Caenorhabditis elegans: one gene and its partner. The protein of the gene in region 1 purifies or fractionates together with the protein of each later gene. This does not show direct contact. Each region holds a gene or a part of one and is shown in the gene's direction. Other genes may lie near its edges.

Region 1 (10,059 bases):
TTCTAGATTTTATATGATTTTCTGAAAATTGGAAAAATCACAGTTTTTCCCTAATTATTTTTGAATTTCCGCCAATTGGATTTGTTCGGTGGAGCGTGCTTGCATTATTTTTATTTATTTATTTTATTTATTCTCGTTATTTGACTGATTTTCTTCATTTTCTATGTTTTTTTCTCGGAAAATGAAAGAAATAAACAAGACGCAAGACGCAAAATGTTTGTTAAAAAGTAATTAAAAATAAAAAAAAGTATATTTCACAGTTTTACTCATTTTCAATTACTTTTTAACAAACATTTTACATTCATTTTGTTTATTTCTTTCATTTTCCGAGAAAAAACCATAGAAAATGAAGAAAATCAGTTAAATAACGAGAATAAATAAAATTAATTATTAAGAATAATGCAAGTGCGCTCCACCGAACAAATCCAATTGGCGGAAACTCAAAAATAATTAGTTGAAAACTGAGATTTTTCCAATTTTCAAAAAATCATATAAATCTAGAAAAAATTTTTGAATTTTTTCATAATGATATTCGGTCATTGTAGCCCCGAGGCGTGTTTTAAAGCAATTTCTCCACAGAGCGTAGTCCACCTTTAATTTAATTTTCAACAAATTGATGAAAATTAGAAAAATTGACATTTGTAAATTTACGTCAAAATGCAAAAACGAGGCTACAGAGCCGGATCCGCTGTCAAAGTACAACTATCTCTTGGATGTTGACAAATCGATTCCACTTGAAGAACATTATCACGGCGATTTTTTCGAAAAATATCCGCAATTTGTGAGTTAACGGGTGTTCTTTTGGAAGCTATTGATAACCGTTTCAGAGAGTTCCAAATGACAAGAGAGCCACTCATTTCATCGTGAAAACTGACAAGAACAATGTTTTGAATGTCAAGGAGCATCATCTTCCGCATATTTTCAAGTAAGAAAGGGTTATTTAAAATTTTAAAAAAGCGCCTTAAGCTAATTATTTCTGTTTCCCAGTTAGTATTAATAAGCAATCGACCTTTCATGTGTGATATTGTATTGTAAAGGTTTGAATTTTCAGATAAGCTAATAGAAAACACTAATTCAATGTTAGATTGCTAAGCTCCTAAGAAGTTAGCATGCCCGCCGCTTGCTGCCGATTGATAGCAACACTCGCGAGGTGTCGGGCGCTTCTCGCCTTCTTATTTTTCTAACATATTTCCTTCAGCGCATCTATGCTCATGGGACATCGTTGGTTGAAGGCGTGTCTAAACAATTCTGCTCACATCACTGACAATAAGAAATTCCGCGTGACAAAGATGAGATTCCAAGGAAAAGTGTATGAAACTGTGGTTGCTATCAAAAATTTCATCAATCGAATGAATGTTCCGTTTTTGTTCGATATTGGAGTTTCGTATAACAATCATGTACTGTTTTAGGATTGTAAGTTTTAATTATTACTAGTTGTCTCAAAAATGTCTCAAAAATGATTTCAGGGATCACATTTCGCAAGGTTGTTGCTCAACTTGGAGTATTCGATGGTGTTGGTGAGTTTCCGGCTTTGTGCCCGAAACAAGGAAGCTCGTACCACAGAGATGATATGCCGAGAAACTTTGTCCTGTCGCGTCCAGAAGATAGACATCAAGTTAAAGCGAGTTTCAAGGATAGATGGTTGACTGATCCACTCTTCTGTTTTATGGACACGGATAAATTTACTCACTTTTTGCTTCGTTTTAAAATCACCACGAAACGCGTTTTGAAGTATGAAGCAAAGGGTAGAAACAATGCTACATGGAAGGATAAGACAAAGTCAGGGGAGGAAACCGATTTGGAGATGAGTGGTTCTGAAGTTAGATCGAGTGAAGCTTCGAATGGATCTGTGGAAAACCCCACCTCGAAGATCGAGTCGGGGACCCCAACTTCGAGAACTTCAGGGAATTGATAGAAGATATGAATGATAGTGAAGAAATGCACAATCTAGAGCTTTTTTGTAAAATTATGTGCTTGTCATGCATGAAACTTTAGTGCAAATAAACTCATCGAAATTACATAGTCATGGTGCACTATTACTACGATAGTAAAACAGTCGAGAATTTACTTAAAATTTGCTGAAAATCGAGTACTGTTTTATAGCGACCGGCATCTACCGGGTCACGAAAAAGGAATAGCGAAAAAGGAAAAAGGAAAATCTAACGAAACTGATACTTTGCGGAAAAAGTAGGAATTCGGCAAAATTTTGAATTGCAGTCGCTGTGCCGATTTTTCAACTTTTCATATTTTGTTCTTAATTTTTTAATAGGTTTTTCATGCATTTTAAACTTTGGATTTTTATATGCATAAGGTGTTTCTGCAGATAGGGAAGCAAAACACTCCTAATAAAACGTTGAAAGCATTTCCATTAAAATCCGACACAAGGTGCGGTGGCACAGAGACAAACTTGCAAACGTTAGCACGTCAGCAGAAATTCACGTCAAAAACAAAACAACATTTTCAAGATTTAAATTTTAAAAAAGTCCTTACTTTATATATTTACGTGGCCGCTTATTTATTTATCAGTTCCAAAAATCTAAAACCACGTCATTCAACTCTCGGGGGACCTCTCCACACTTTTGATGATTATTCATTTATTTCCCGATTCAACGCTGTTGTGGATAACAAATTCATATCGATAAGCTTGATATTAAAATGTGAGTTTCAATTTTCCGGATACTTTGGCAACAACCAATTTTTTTCAGGTTATCTATAAGAATCGTTTCTATGATATTCTTGATATCGTTGGCATTCAATTGTTCAAATACACTGGAAACGATTAAAAACGTCGCACGTTCGGAAAGAGACACTGGACAAGGTAGGCGGAATGGTTGGAGTTAAAACTTCCATGTGAGGCATGCGCGGGTTCTCTGAAGTCTAGAGTCTTTCGCAGCAGCCGACGATTTTTGGGTTCCACAACACACTACAAAGAAGGTGTAATGCGTGCGAAGATCGCTGCTAGCTAGACGCGGTTTAGTTACTGTCACCTTCTTTCATGCCTACGCCTACCTACCTGCCCATTTTGGTTGTTGCCTACCAACCGTATGTACCGCTGAACCGTACTTTTCTCATAGCTGCAAGTCTTTCAAAGATGTCAATTTTGAATGAAAAATCATCAATGCGTGGTTTTCAAATTTTTGACTATTTCGTAATCGTTTGAAAAAAACCAACAAATGATAAGAAATGATATTTTCGACGAGATCAAAAGTTTCAATATGAAACAACACGCTCAATTTTAAAAAAAAATTATAAATTCTCAAATGAATTTTTCAGGTTCTTCTTCATCCCTTCAACAAATGACCGACGACTTCTCGTCACTTGCGCGGCTCTTGAATGGCATACTACTTCAACAATTGCTCACCGATGGCTCTCTTGTTGCCACTGAAACGATCGCCGATCTTTTTAATATTCCGAATGGAAAGGCTATTGAACGAGTGATTGCAACCGATGTTCATGTCAAGAGTACATCCAAACTCGTTTCCTTCACAGTTGATCACGTAAGCAAGCTTGCGGAGAATGCAATTAACGCTTCAGTGACTAGAGATCAGTTTGAGACACTTTCCTCAATAATTCAGCGTTTCAATAATCTTGCTAATGTCACTGATAACTCGTTGCTTCTTATAGAAATGTTACCAAAGGATTTAAATTTGAAGGCAACAACTTTTCAGCCAATGTTTCGTGTTTTGACGTCAATTAAAGAGACGTTGAGCACTACTCCTTCGAAAACTGTATCTGACTCTCTGAAAGAGTTTCAGTCACTCTACGATACTTTTCATTCACAACTTTTCAATATGTTTGATTTGGACAGAGTTGCAGTTGACGTATTGAAGTTGAAAGGTGTGCACAAAAAACTTGAACCCATCTATCAAAATTTTCTGTTTGTAAAAGACTATAGAAAATACTTTGCCGATTTTAAACATTTGGCATCCACAACTGATGATGAATAATTCAAGAGTACTTCTAGATATTATTAAGAAAAATTCTGCGTATGCTGAGATGACTGCCCAACTCTCAAGTACTCGTCAAATCATTCATTCTTTGGTATCGAGAAGAGAAACGGCAACGTTGAATTACGTCGGATTTCCAAAAGGAATTGAGGATCTTGCTCAGATCAAAGATGACCTCAGTGGAACATGGTTGAAAGAAAAGCTTGCGAGTCAGAAGAGTATGAGTGAACTCTCCAAACATTTGGAACTTATACATCAGCTTCCTAACGAACTTAAAAATTTGAGCTCAAGTTGGGACGATATGAGGAATGCTTCCACAACACGTATGCCATTAACTGATGCTTTGATCTTTCAACTCGGGAATTTTTGTGATTTAAATAAACATTTGGCAGGGATTTCCGACATAGAGAAAAGGACAAAATCTATCAACGATATTGTTAATGAATTGAAGGACATTCCAGATGATGATGCTCTCAAAGATTTCGATAAGTTCTATGAGTTGAAAAAATCTTTCGAGGATATTAGCGATCGAGTTGAAAGTCTGAAAGGTTTTTTGGCTGAACTTGAATGCTATAACATAACACGGGACGATTTGAAAGCTATAGTAGTTTCAATTAATAACGCTGCTGGAAACGCTGTGGATAATTTAAACGACACGCAGATCTTGGATAGAGTGAGGAAGATACGAAAAACCGTGGGTTTTATAGAACTGTGGAATATTACTCATTTTTTTGCGACAAAGTTGCCAACTGATTTGGAAGATAAGGTGAATGAAATTGTTGGTAAAACAATCCAAAAGGAGTCTTTGGACCATTTTCAAAAAAGTTTGAAAAACTCTGGACTGGAAACTGTCTCAAAAAAATTTGCCAACGTCGGCTATAACGGATCTTCGATTGTTGTCAATTTACTTGAATTTATCAACAAAGCTCGGAAAATTGACACCGGCGCTTTACAAGAAATCCCAGGAATTCTAAGATTGCTCGAGAAACTGAAAAATGATTTTGTAGCTGCAGTTGAGCAGGTGAACACCAAGAAAACACAAAAAGCAAAGCAACGACGAGCTGCACAAAACAACTTGTCAGTTTCTCCAATTTCACGATCATTGGTTCTTGATTTTGCAAACGGTGTCATTGTTCTGAGGAAGATGTCTGAAGTCTATGAGAAGAGTGAAATCGTGTCAGCAGCGGCAAGTTCGGCAGACGATGTGAACAATTTGATAAGTGGTGTGCCTGTTTATAAAAGTTCGTGGACAAAAGTGAATCGGGATGGAATGATAAAGTTGGTGGATGATTTGAAAAAGCTGGAAAAGTATGCAAAAGATCAAAGAAATGATAAGCATCTCAAGGACGTTGGGGAATTGTTCAAGAAGATTTTCGAGATCAAAGGAGTTCCGATTGACGCGTCGGACTTTGCCAAATATGATGTAGCAATTGTGAAAGCTTACAATTCATTGCCTCAAATCCTACAGTATTTCCAAGAGATGTTCCCGGTTAGAAATCAGAAACTAAACAAACCATCGCATCCAATGCAAACCAATGCATCAAATTTGGTTTCCAATCACGACGATGGAGATGAGGGACAATCGGGAGGGTGAGCTTGAAATTGGTTTCTTTTAATTAAAACAAAGTTTTTTTTAGACTGGTCTATATAATTATTGCCGTTTCAATATTCCTACTTGTTCCTGTGATAATTTTCTTCGTTTTGCACTTTCTACTCAAACGCTTCACTCGAAAACGTAAAAAATGAATTGAATATTCCTACGACAAAAATTTTGTTTTTCAGTTGACTATTTGACCCAGCTCAATGATCCGGAGACGTGGGTTCTGCTCTCATTTACTCCTGAAAACATTCCTCAAGAGTTTCAAGAACCGGGTTATGCCATTCCGGCGTTCAAGCATCTTCACAATGACAACATTGACGAGTTCAAGAAAAGTCTAGCTGCTGGTGCATATGTCGATGCTAAAGGTATTCCATATATTATAGGTTTTCCGTAATAATATTTATTTGAAATAATTTCAGTTCAAAGCTCTAAATCTTCCAACACATTGCTACACGAAAGCGTCTCACTTGGACAGGGCGAGTACGTAAAACAGCTTCTCAAGTATGGTGCAAGCTGTGATGTTCTCAATCATGATCAAGAGACACCGCTGGAGTTGGCTGAAAAACTTGGCCATCAGAATTGTATTAAAGTGCTCAAGATGTTTGAAGGCAAGACATTTGATATTGTTCTACCTCAGCAACTGAATCAGGGCGATTACAATATCAGAGTTGAGCAGCATCTTCGCGAGGAAAGTGGGCATTATGATGGGTTTTGTAAGAAGTACTTGTATTTGGTAAGTGATTCTTTGCGGGGTTTCTCAAAACTTGGAACAGTTTTTTGATGAATATTGAATGAATAGTTCATATTTGCCTGGTCGAGAAGCATGCCTTTAAGTCACGTTGTTTCAGTCTGTCCCATTACGGTTTGATCTGCCGAAAATGCGGGAATTTTTTGCCCAAAAAATGTGACGCCAGCACCAGGGGAGAGCGGCAAATCTCAAAATTTGCCGAGCTCGGCAAATTCGGCAAGTCTATTTTTCCAGTATTTGCCGAGGTCGGAAAATTCGACAAATTCGGCAAATTTGCGGTGTTTGACAAACTCGGAAAAATTTGATATTTTATGATGTTTTTTGGAGCATTTTGCCAAATTTTTGCCGAAAAAATCAACAGTTTTGGTCAAAATTGTACTTTCAAATTTTTGACGTGTGCGGCAAATTTCGAAATTTGCCGAGCTTGGCAAACGGCAAATTCGGCAAATTTGCCGCACACTCCTGTTCGGCACGTTCTTAACCATGCAAAATCAGTTGAGAACTCTGCGTCTCAACTCCCGCATTTTTTGTAGATCTCAGTAGATCAAGCCGACATGGGACACTCTCGTTTGGTTGCCCTTGTGCTCGTAGTAGCTCATGCTATGTCAGCAGCGCTCTGGACATCTTGTCACTACTATTCTTACAAGGTGTTGTTGAGTTTGAACTATATTTTCATATTTTTCATTGCTGTGTTCGGATCAGTGGTTTTTAGCGAAAGTTGCTAGATTTAATAGATTTGAGAAAGCGCTGTGAAAAAATTTCTAATAAGCTTGCAATGTTTCAAATACTTTTTAAAATATGTTCACAAATTGTTTACAAAATCTTGCAAACTTTTTTACTAATTATATACAGATCTTTGTACCAAATTTTTTAAGCAATTTATCTAGCTAGTACACAGCAAATCTCCATCACTTTCTAATCCAAAAAATGTTCCAGATGGATGATTGGGAACGCCCGTTCTCTCATTTCGTGGTCAAAACTGATTCGGAAGGTGTTTGGAACATTGTTGAAAATGAAGTCCATATTGTGTTCTGGTAGGTTCAGATTTTAGGTATTTCCTCGAAAAATTTACTTTTACAGTGCCGCAATGGTTATGAGTGAGAGTTGGTTGAAAGCATGTGTCAGCAGTTCATCAAATATCGCTGGAAACAAGAAGTATCGTGTGACAAGAATGACGTTCCAGGGAAAAGAATATGGCACCTTGCTTCAAATCAAAGACTTTTTCAATCGAATGAATGTTCCATACCTGTTTGGTACGAATGTTACGTTGTATAATTCGAATTTCAATTGTTCAAAATGTAAGTTCAACTTACTTCAATGTTGAAAAATAAATTTTTTTAATGTGAAAATATTTCAGGGGATCAATTCCAGCATGTTCTAACTGAATTGGGAGTTTCACCGGAGCATTTGTTTGATGGCAAATGGAATTGGGTCAGGGGACCAAGTTATCATCGCAAGGACTACCCGAAAAACTTTTTTGTTCACTTTGAGGCCGACTACTTGAAAACTGAATGGGACTACAAGAATTCAATGTTTGAAGAAATGCACAATGAGATTCTGAGCACCGACGAGTTGATTCATTTCTTGTTGGCTTTTGAAATCAATTCCGAGAAGGTTTTGGAAACGAATGCGAAGAATAAAAAATTGAATGGGCTACACAAAGCGGAGGCGAGTTCTGTGGTGAAAAGTGAGAAAGAGAAGAAGAAAAACAAGAGGAATACGGCGGATAACACTACAACTACGGGAGCTACGGGAACCACGGTGACAACTGGGACAGAGTCAAGTACCTTGCTTGGAAATGAAAATGAAACCTCGTAAATTATGGACACTAGATTATAAAGAACGTTCTGAATAAAGTTTGTGAGGAATTTTTTTTTTTTTTCAAAATAAAATTCCAAAGCAAAACAGTCGCATACTGTTTTGGGCTCAGCTTATGTGTTGCTTCGTTATTTAGAAACGATTGGGCATCTGTATTCAGAACAAGTGAAAATAGCAGTATGGAATTAGTTTCACTTTTTAGTGGCACTTTTTGGACGCCTACCTGCACGCCCCCTGTACTTACTTACACAGAAATGTCTATTTCGTTAACTTCCCATTGTTTTTTCTCTTTCTCTTCTTTTTAAAAGTTTTATTTTTTAACTGTTTTTTTTAGTTGTTTTAATGAGCGCATATATAGTAAAAATTATTAACCTATCCAAAAAAGTACGATTACCTCACTTTTTATACTACATACACTCAAAATAATAAAACTGCGTGGCGTGTACTGCAGAAAACCTAATATTTAGGCCCCGCCTTTTTATCGTCCACTCACGGGGAAAAGGCAAAATTCGGGGACCAACCAATATCAGGCCGCCGACATCCTACGGGTTCCGCGCGCCGCTATTTTTAACTCGTTGTGGGCGCGGCAAACTGTCTCCGCCCGCTGCGAGTTAAACATAGCGGCGCGCGGAACACGTAGGATGTCGGCGGCCTGATATTGGTTGGTCCCCGAATTTTTGCCTTTTCTCCGTGAGTGGACGAGAAAAAGGCGGGGCCTAAATATGAGGTTTTCTGCAGTACACGCCACGCAGTTTTATTATTTTGAGTGTAGATAAGCCAACTGTGCAAGTTTAAATTTTATTTTTTTATGAGCCTCTTGTTTGGAAATAGAAACGAACCTCGTGAATTACACTATATTAAAAAACGAATTTCGAATAAAGTTTGTGAGAAGTTTTGTTTCAGAAAAAAAATCCAAAGCAAGTTTTAAGTCTCATACTGTTTTGAATTTAGCATATGAAGCGCATCGTTTTTAAAAGTTAGTGGGCGAATGTAAAACTTTCAAAATGTTCATAGTAGTCTAGAATTCGCTTTGTCAGTCACCTGCACGCCTCAGTTCTCACATGTACTTATTTACAAATAAATGTTTCTAGGAAATTGAAAAAATAAATAAAAAGAAAACAGTAATGTGCAAGTTTAAATTTAATTTATTTATGAGTGTATTGAAACAGTAATTTCACAGAAGCTGTGCTCTAATTCTTTAAAAATTTAACAAGTGAGTTCTATTTTAATTTAAGACTAAGGCTAAGGAACAATCATTTCTAGGTGTGAAAATTGAAAAAGCGTCATCAGAAAAGTAATATATTGGCAACAAATCTACTACACAAGTGCCAACAAAACATGTAAAACTGCTAAAATGTTGTCAAGACCTCCATGGAAAATTTTAGACGTTTGTAGCGTAATAAGGCACGATACTTTTAGTACAGCTGGAAAATTTTTTCCAAAACAATGAACCATACCTAGTTTAATGTTAGTTTAATCTTGCAGTATTGAATTTTGTTGTGATTCATAATCATCCCGCAAATCGTTTTTTTGCCGTTTCACCAACATTATTTGTACAACAACACTTTTTGTGAAAAGTAATGTAATGAAGGCCTTCCTTGGTAATTATTAATCATACGTTACTCTACCCTTCACCCTAATTTACCCTACATTTTAAGGCTTAATTTATTTTACAAAGACAAAAAATGTCAATCCCAATTGCTCTCTCACTATCAGCTGTCTCCGCACTCTCTCTCTCTCTCTCTCTCTGATTCCACCACATGGGCGTGGCCGCCACTCACGTCCAACTTGGAAACGAGCGGAACCCGTAGTGTGTCGGCCGCCGCGTTCCTTCTCCTCGACGGCCAGCGCTGCTATCATCGAGACCATACTATACAGAATCATTTCTGCAGTATGTATCTCGTAATTCCCATCATATTGGTAGAGATGCCAACTGCGATGAAAGG
Region 2 (7,862 bases), on another chromosome or scaffold:
ACGATTTACAGAGGTTAGAATTCTTTTAAGCATTTCTTTAATTCGGAGTTACTCTGAAAATTAAATTTTTAGAGTGAAGCAGCAGACATCATGCGGCAGTTGGTATCAGCTGTGAAATATCTTCATGATAAAAGAATTGTTCATCGAGATTTGAAACCAGAGGTGAGTTTCAATGATCAGATTATGTTAAGTGGCTGCAAAATAATACAAAACATAAGAATAAAATACTTCCAAAAAGTGAAACAAATTAATAATTAAAGGTGGAGTATACTCGAGTAGTTAGAAAATTATGACGCAATTTTTAAAAAAACGGGCACAGTTATTCTTATTCCAGAATATTCTATTTGAAAGTATCGATTCAAGTGCCCGCCTTCGTCTAGTCGATTTTGGATTTGCACGTCTACTTCCAAATTCAATGGAACAACAACTGAAGTCTGTTCAAGTTCTGCGCAAGATGTACGGTCTCATCGCACACAATCATTCACTCCACTCGGAGTAACATTTAGTCTAGTCAAAAGTTATTGTGTTTTGTCTTTTTTCACTCATTATTGGGCATATTTTTGTTTTTTTTTCTTAACTGGGAGCATGTGTCTCAAGCTGAAAATTTAAAAGAACAAATGTTCGAAAAAAGTTACTTTTGGTAGAGAGGAAGACGGTGGTGTGTGATGTTTCGTGCATTCTTGTTACAGATTATCTTCTTTTTCTATCCTTTTAAACCTTTCTTTTCACTTATCTCTACTAAGGGTTTCTTTCTTGATTTCAGAGATTTTTGAAGAAACACACTCATTCTCTGACTCTCACTTGATTTTCAAGACAAAGCTGTTTACTAACAATTCACAAACACTCACATTAAGTTTCTCAAATTTTCTGTAAACTTGAGAGTTAGAGAATGCCCAATTCATCTTTGAATAACGTTTGTTTTCACTAATAGCTTCTATATATTTGCCTAACTCTCACTATGAAATTCTTCAATCATAATTACAGGACCCCCTGCTTCACACTACAGTATGCTGCTCCAGAAGTTTTAGATGTTGGAGATTCTCAACCAGAATACAACGAACAATGTGATTTATGGTCACTTGGAGTTGTACTGGTTAGTTGTATAATTTTGTAATAATTTAATGTTTCAAAAATCGAAGTAAAAATTTTGAGAAAAAACAAAAAGACCCCTCAAATTTAAGAAACGATTGATAATCGATAAAAATCACGAAATGGAAGCATGCAACTACAGTACCACATCGTGAAAAATTTTTTGGACGCATTGAGAACCCTGGTTATTAGAAATTCATAAGAAATATTTTAAATTGTGTGGCACATTTTCTACGAATAAATTTTTCAGTTCACAATGCTATCGGGTCAAGTTCCATTCCATGCACGTTCTCGTCAAGAATCGGCAACTGAAATAATGCAGAGAATTTGTAGAGCAGAATTCTCATTCACAGGAGACGCATGGACAAACGTGTCAGCAGATGCTAAGAATTTAATAACCGGTCTTCTTACTGTGGATCCAAAGAAACGTCTTTCAATGCAAGAGCTTACAGCTCATATGTGGCTCAAGTCTTCGGCTTCAATGGATACACCACTTCAAACTCCTAGTATTCTGCCATCATCAGCAGGTAGTTAAACTGATGTTATTGAAAATTGAATAACCTAATCTTTTGACTTTTCAGATGAAACATTCAATGAGACACTGCGCGCATTCCTCCACGCTAATCGTGATGGATTCCATCTTCTCGATGTTGCTGCTGCTCCTCTCATGAAACGACGCGGAATCAAAAGACAATCTGGGGACAAGGATGCTTCTGGAAACTCGAAAAAGTGAGTTCAAGAACCCTAATATTTGAAACTCCTCCAATTTGGGGTACGGTTTCAAAGTGCACAAGAAACACCACATTTGACGACATTTCTCTAAAATTTTATTTTTTAGTTTTTAAGTTTGCAAATAATTGTAAATTCCTTATTTTATACTATTTAGAACGTCTATTCAAATATTATATTTATGAAATTATTAATAATAATTATTTTCTAAAAAAATATGATACTTCTAATTTTGATCGCATTGTGAACATTTTCGTTTCTGAAAATATACTTTCATTTTCAACAATTTATGTCATTTTCCAGTTCGCGAGTTACCCAATTCGAGTGTCTTCCGGAAGAACAAGAAGCAGAGATGACATCATCAACATCCCGTCCAAGCAATTTGGGAATGATGAACTATCGAGAACCAAATTCTGGAACAATCCGAGAAACTCGTGGCTCAGACTCCTCCTAGACCTTTTTCTTTGTTTCTTTTAATTTTTCTTCCTTTCTGTTCCTGTTTCTCTCACTGTTTGCGTTGTGATTCTTTCGTCCTAGATGCTTTCTAGTCTGTACTCTCTCATTATTCTCACTATTTTACAAATTTTCCGTCACCTGACACTTGTGGCATTGCCTTCTCTATGAGTACAGTTGCTGAAATGTTCATTGAACCTGTAGTGATTGTCATTTGTTAGATATTTCGCATTTCTAGTCAATCCTCTACCAATTTTGAAAAATATTGTGATTCGTGCATTTCATTTTATGTTATTATATCTAGTCTCATGTAAATTTCTAATTTTTTATAATCATTTTGTTAGATACACATATCTTTATTCATCCACCTATCCCCATGTAATCTTTTCATTGTCTCCAGTGACTCCCTGAACTCTTGAACCATTTCCAGAAATTCTTCCATGTTTTGCGATGAGCATGATTGACTTGCCAATCGACTTTTTGAAAGATTAATAAAATTAAGTAATTCGTTTTACATATTTATTTTGGAGAAGGTTTGAAAGCTCCGAATCATAATATCGATTGAAGCATCAACGTGAAAACCTGATGTAATGTGAGAAAATAAAATATGGAAGTGAAAGCATTTTAGAGAATATTTTTAGCGATAAGAGCTTGGTGAAGACGGTGAAGTGGCAAACCAACCACATTCGGCATACATCCTTCGATTCCACGAACGAAGACAGCGCCAAAGTCACCGATTCCATATGAACCTGCTTTTTTCCTGAAATTTCGATTTACTAGGTCAGTTATTCGTGTTTTTTTATTGGAGTTTTCAAATGTCGTGATGAAAATGATGAAAAACGTGATGAAAATTTTAAAAATCCCTCAAGTTTTGCAGCTCTTTCAAATACTCATAAAATGTTCAAAATTTCTTGACCGCCAATTTTTCTTTCATTTTTATGACTTTAGATAAGAAATTCAATTCCAAAAATTTTGATAACTTTCAATCAATAAATATTTCCATAACTTTTTTTTGCTAAAAAAAACTAACAATGGCTCTCCGCTTTTTACATATTCGTCGATAACTCTATCAGGAATATCTCCAAAATGAACAATTGTTTTCTCGATGATCTCTTCATATTGATCAGTTTCATGATAGTGTAGAGCCATTCCAGTATATACATTATGAGTATTGTTACGAAGTCTGAAATTAATTTATACAATTATGATGTTGAAAATTTAATTACCTTTTCAAAGTTTCTTTAGCGTCATTGGCATCTGTTGGTTTTCCAATAATTTCTCCATTGAATTCGATTACTGTATCACACGCAATAATAACAGAGTACGGCTCCTTAATAATTCATATATTAATATAATATCTCAGTTTTTATAATTTCAATTTTAGATTTTAAAAATATGGTAGCAGGTCTCGATATGCTGCAGCACTCTGAAATTTTGCGCAAAAAGTTTTAGGTCGCGTCGAGAAATGTTGCCGTATTTTTTTTGTTGAATTCCGATTTGTTTTTCAACTAATAACTATATTCTCAAGTTACTGAAAAAATAACTATACCTCTTTTCTTTTCATTTCTTCCACAATAGTCGTCAATTTTCCTTTAGCTGTTTCAATGACAAACTGCTTAACTGGCAATGTTTTTGGTAGATTTTCCTCGAAATTTGAAACTTTTACGATTACATTTTCCAATCCCTGAAACCGAAATAAATCTTTCTTTTTGTAGATTCTCATTTTCTCACAATTTGCTGCAACAATTTGAGTCGATTTGGTGACTGACTTGCCAATACAATAATGGCTTCTTTCATTCCGAACTTGCCGTCGTGGGCGAAACACGTGGATCTGAAATTTCGATCGGCTCTTGTGCTCAGTCAATTATTCACAAAAAGTTGGGGACATCCGGATGTAATTAAACAGTACGTTTTGTTTTAATTGAGAAATTGAGAAACTAATAGATAATTAATTATTGTTATTATTATTTTAGAATGGCAAAATATCGCAGAGATGTCATGTCAAAGAGGCTTGTGATGGATTATGTGAAAGAACTTAATCCCAAAATCGACATTGTGAAGGTAAATTTTAATTTCTCAAAAACATTTTTCAATAATAAATAATTCTCAGAAATATTCAAAAAATGGCGTAACTTCATACGAGGGATTTTTCGCAAGTCCTCATGCCACTCTCTTTCCCAATCATATGCCAGGAAACGTCGGTCGAGCACATTTCAGAGCATATCTTCCTCAGAAACCAGGCCCCGTATGCATACATTTGGCAGGCACCGGAGATCACTCTTATTTTAGGTAAGAAAATTGAAAATTTATTTTAAAAAATACGGTACCTGGTCTCGGCACGACAAATTTTTTTGTACTTTAAAACTCGCTGCAGAGTTTTTAACTTACAGTTTCCTTTAAAGGCGCACACCTTTTTGCATTTAACAAAATTCATCGTGTCGAGACCGGATACCGTATTTTTGTCACAAAGATCGAAAAAGTTTGCGTCTGAATAATACATATTTAATCTAAAAAGAGAAAAAAACTCAAAAACTGAGATAAAAAGTATCGCATCTTACATAGATGCATAAATCGAATAATGATTCTTATCAGAGACCACAAAAATTTCGAAAAAATGCAAAAAAATCAAAACTGGTATCATAGATCACTATTATTTCAGACGTCACTATCTTCTTGTTGATGACATGCTTAAGGATGGTGTGGGATCTATTTTAATTCAAAATCCATTTTATGGAGATCGAAAACCACCGAATCAATTCCGTTCTTCTCTTGAAAATGTGACGGATCTTTTTGTGATGGGTGCCGCTTTAATTGCAGAATGTAATCATCTTTTCAATTGGTCTGAGACACTTGGATATGGTCCATTTGCAATTTCTGGTGTCTCGATGGGTGGATTTATGGCTCAACTTGCTGGATCAAATTCGCAACGTCCAATATCAATAGTTCCTATTCTTGCATGGACGACAGCATCACCATCATATACGGAAGGAGCTATTTCTCCAGCTGTTAATTATTCTTTACTGCAGAAACAGCTCGAAGATCCTCACTATGTTGATAAAATCCGAAGAATTCCGAATCAAAATTGGCTGGATAAAATGCGAGAGATGACTGCGAGAAACGGTGATTCAGAAGCCAAGAATATGATGAGAATTTTGATGGATGACTTCACAAGTCTTGAATTCTATCCAACACCAATAGACACATCACTATGCCATGTATTCTTGGCTGATCAGGATCAATATGTACTGCGAAATCAAGGGACACCAACATATCAACAATTATGGCCTAATGTAACTGTTGAAATGATGGAAGGATATGGACATGTTACAGCATATCTATCGAAACATGATCTTTGGCGTCGAAGAATAACCGAATTGCTCAGACGGCAACAGCAGAAAACAATTTAAAATAATTTGCATTTTTACTAGAATTTTGATTTTCCGTTTCTTCTTGTGATACTAGAACTCCCATAGCCAAATTTGAGATTGTCTCTATTTTGACATTACCGGTTTCTCTTTCTCAGTGTGCCTTTTCATAAAATAGAACTATGTCGGTAATGAACATTTTTCAACCAAATTCTACAAACATGATCTCCATATGCGATTTATAATTTAAAACTTTATTCGTCTCCACACTAAAAATAAATGTCGACGTTTTACCATTATTTGGTTTATTGGAAAAGAAAAGAAGGTATAAAAACGTGGTTACAGAGAAAAAAAAACGGATAAGAGATTTCCTATATAAAAAAAATATTCGAGAAAGTAATGATGCATCGAAAAAGTTCGTGAGCTTTTTAGTTTAAAAAGGAGTCTGACTATTTCGAATACAGCAAAAACTCTCAGAAAATGGAAAAATACTCATACTAAACTCTCCATTTTATTTTCACAATTAACAAACAACGGCGACAACTAAATTTTTCTAAACGGCTCCCGACGTCGTCCCCAATTTGAAAATTTTGGTGACTACGACGGTCGGATCGAGGGAGAGCGCGTTCTTTTTTTTTGAGGGGATGGAGGCTGTGAAAAAATGAACTAGGAGAGGAGGGTTACAAATACTCGCAATTTCATTAAATTTACAAACGATTAATCTCACAATATTTTATGAAATTGCGAGCAAATGATCGCTGATGGAAATTGCGGACGAATGAAGAGGATAATGAAAAAATAGCGGAAAGCTGGTGATTACTGAGCCTTTGGTGGCTCTCTTCCCTTGACCGTCTTGAACAAGAATTTCTGCGACTTCGTGAATGACCAGATATGTCTCTTTCCGTAGATCAGCACAACAGCCACAAATGGAATCAGAGCAGCGATCTAAATTATTAAAGTTTATTCACTTGTATATAATATTTTCTAAAATGAATTACCTTAAGAGCCCACTTCTTTCTGGTGTCATGGAATGGCTCTGCGGCCCAGTGCATGAATGCAGAAACATCCTTAGCTTGTTGAGACATTGTTGCTGGTGTTCCGTCCTTGTACTCAATTCCTTCGTCGAACAATTGTTGTGGCATAGAGATGATACCTCCTGGGAAGTATGGATTGTAAGCTTTTCCGTCATCAACCTGAAAAATGTTTCACTAATTCCTTTCAATTGTGTGCACGAAATACCTTCACTCCAGCTGGAGCCTCAAGATATCCAGTAAGAAGAGAGAAAACGTAATCATCTCCTCCGTGTCTAGCAAGAGCCATCAATGACAAATCTGGTGGAGCAGCTCCGTTGTTGGCAGCCGCTGCGGCCTTCTTGTTTGGATATGGGTTTGGCAACTTATCGGTCAGCATTCCTGGGCGCTGAATGGATGCTCCCTTATCGTCAACATCATTAATAAGAGCGTCAGCGGCCTCGGCTTTAGCTTCTTCCTTTAAAAAAAAGTCGTGATTAGCATGAAGTTATTATTTTATTCAAATTACCTCAGTCATGATTGTGTCAACGAAATGACGGTAATGCAAGAATTTCATCGAGTGGCAAGCTGCGCACACTTGCTTGTATACTTCGTATCCACGTCGTACACTGAAACATGAACGATTTATCATTATCCAAACTCAATTGAACCTACGAAGCAATGTCGAATGAAGAGAACGGTCCGCTGTGAGCCCATGGTAAAGCGTACGGGTGAACGTTGTCTCCGCTAGCGCTGACCGAGTTCTCCAAAGCGTAAACGAGTCCCATGCCTGAAGCGGCTGTGACTCCGGCAAGGGCCGCCAATCCACGCTGAAAAATACGATAATTAATTCACTGTTTATTTCAACATAAATTATTGTCTTCTAATAATAATTGGAGTTTTTGAATAGAAAGGACATAAAACTTACTTTAGATCCTTGAACCACGGCACGCTGCATTACGTACCACGTCGATTACCTATAAAATTCGTTTAATTTATTTCACTAAATTTGTTTTAAAAAAGAATTGAACGTGTGAACATTGCATAAATTTTATTCATCAATTTCCTAATTTAAATCAACTCCAGCAACGGAATTGCTTAAAAATTGAAGGTTCAATTTATCCGAATTGGAAATCTATCCAGTAAAATTATTCTGACGTGAATGAACCCGGAAATTGAATAAATTAACAAAAAACAACTGAAAAATTAAAGAAAA

The links. The genes of interacting proteins can lie anywhere in the genome.
Region 2: the proteins of Y67A10A.3 (region 1) and C54G4.7 fractionate together in Caenorhabditis elegans (co-fractionation; one large-scale study listed by BioGRID). This does not show direct contact.

Annotation. Positions count from the first base shown.
Region 1 is NC_003282.8:14,327,049-14,337,107, reverse strand, and holds Y67A10A.3 (uncharacterized protein), read left to right. Parts: upstream 1-2,648; 5' UTR 2,649-2,655; coding exon 2,656-2,657; intron 2,658-2,705; coding exon 2,706-2,818; intron 2,819-3,187; exon of another isoform or gene 3,188-3,211; intron 3,212-3,273; coding exon 3,274-3,837; intron 3,838-3,964; coding exon 3,965-5,537; intron 5,538-5,584; coding exon 5,585-5,682; intron 5,683-5,729; coding exon 5,730-5,912; intron 5,913-5,966; coding exon 5,967-6,280; intron 6,281-6,975; exon of another isoform or gene 6,976-6,996; intron 6,997-7,231; coding exon 7,232-7,329; intron 7,330-7,375; coding exon 7,376-7,593; intron 7,594-7,652; coding exon 7,653-8,113; 3' UTR 8,114-8,163; downstream 8,164-10,059.
Region 2 is NC_003279.8:8,016,800-8,024,661, forward strand, and holds C54G4.7 (AB hydrolase-1 domain-containing protein), read left to right. Parts: upstream 1-2,701; 5' UTR 2,702-2,863; exon of another isoform or gene 2,864-2,895; coding exon of another isoform or gene 2,896-3,031; 5' UTR 3,032-3,051; intron 3,052-3,301; coding exon of another isoform or gene 3,302-3,454; intron 3,455-3,497; coding exon of another isoform or gene 3,498-3,601; intron 3,602-3,820; coding exon of another isoform or gene 3,821-3,955; intron 3,956-3,986; 5' UTR 3,987-4,002; coding exon of another isoform or gene 4,003-4,054; coding exon 4,055-4,176; intron 4,177-4,244; coding exon 4,245-4,332; intron 4,333-4,381; coding exon 4,382-4,560; intron 4,561-4,930; coding exon 4,931-5,678; 3' UTR 5,679-5,847; downstream 5,848-7,862. Other genes in the region: rskn-2 (Ribosomal protein S6 kinase), read left to right, coding at 1-13, 73-162, 335-456, 985-1,093, 1,340-1,619, 1,671-1,818, 2,122-2,272; dod-18 (Nucleotide PPase), read right to left, coding at 2,896-3,031, 3,302-3,454, 3,498-3,601, 3,821-3,955, 4,003-4,068; cyc-1 (Cytochrome c domain-containing protein), read right to left, coding at 6,453-6,581, 6,635-6,829, 6,876-7,124, 7,176-7,275, 7,322-7,476, 7,575-7,604.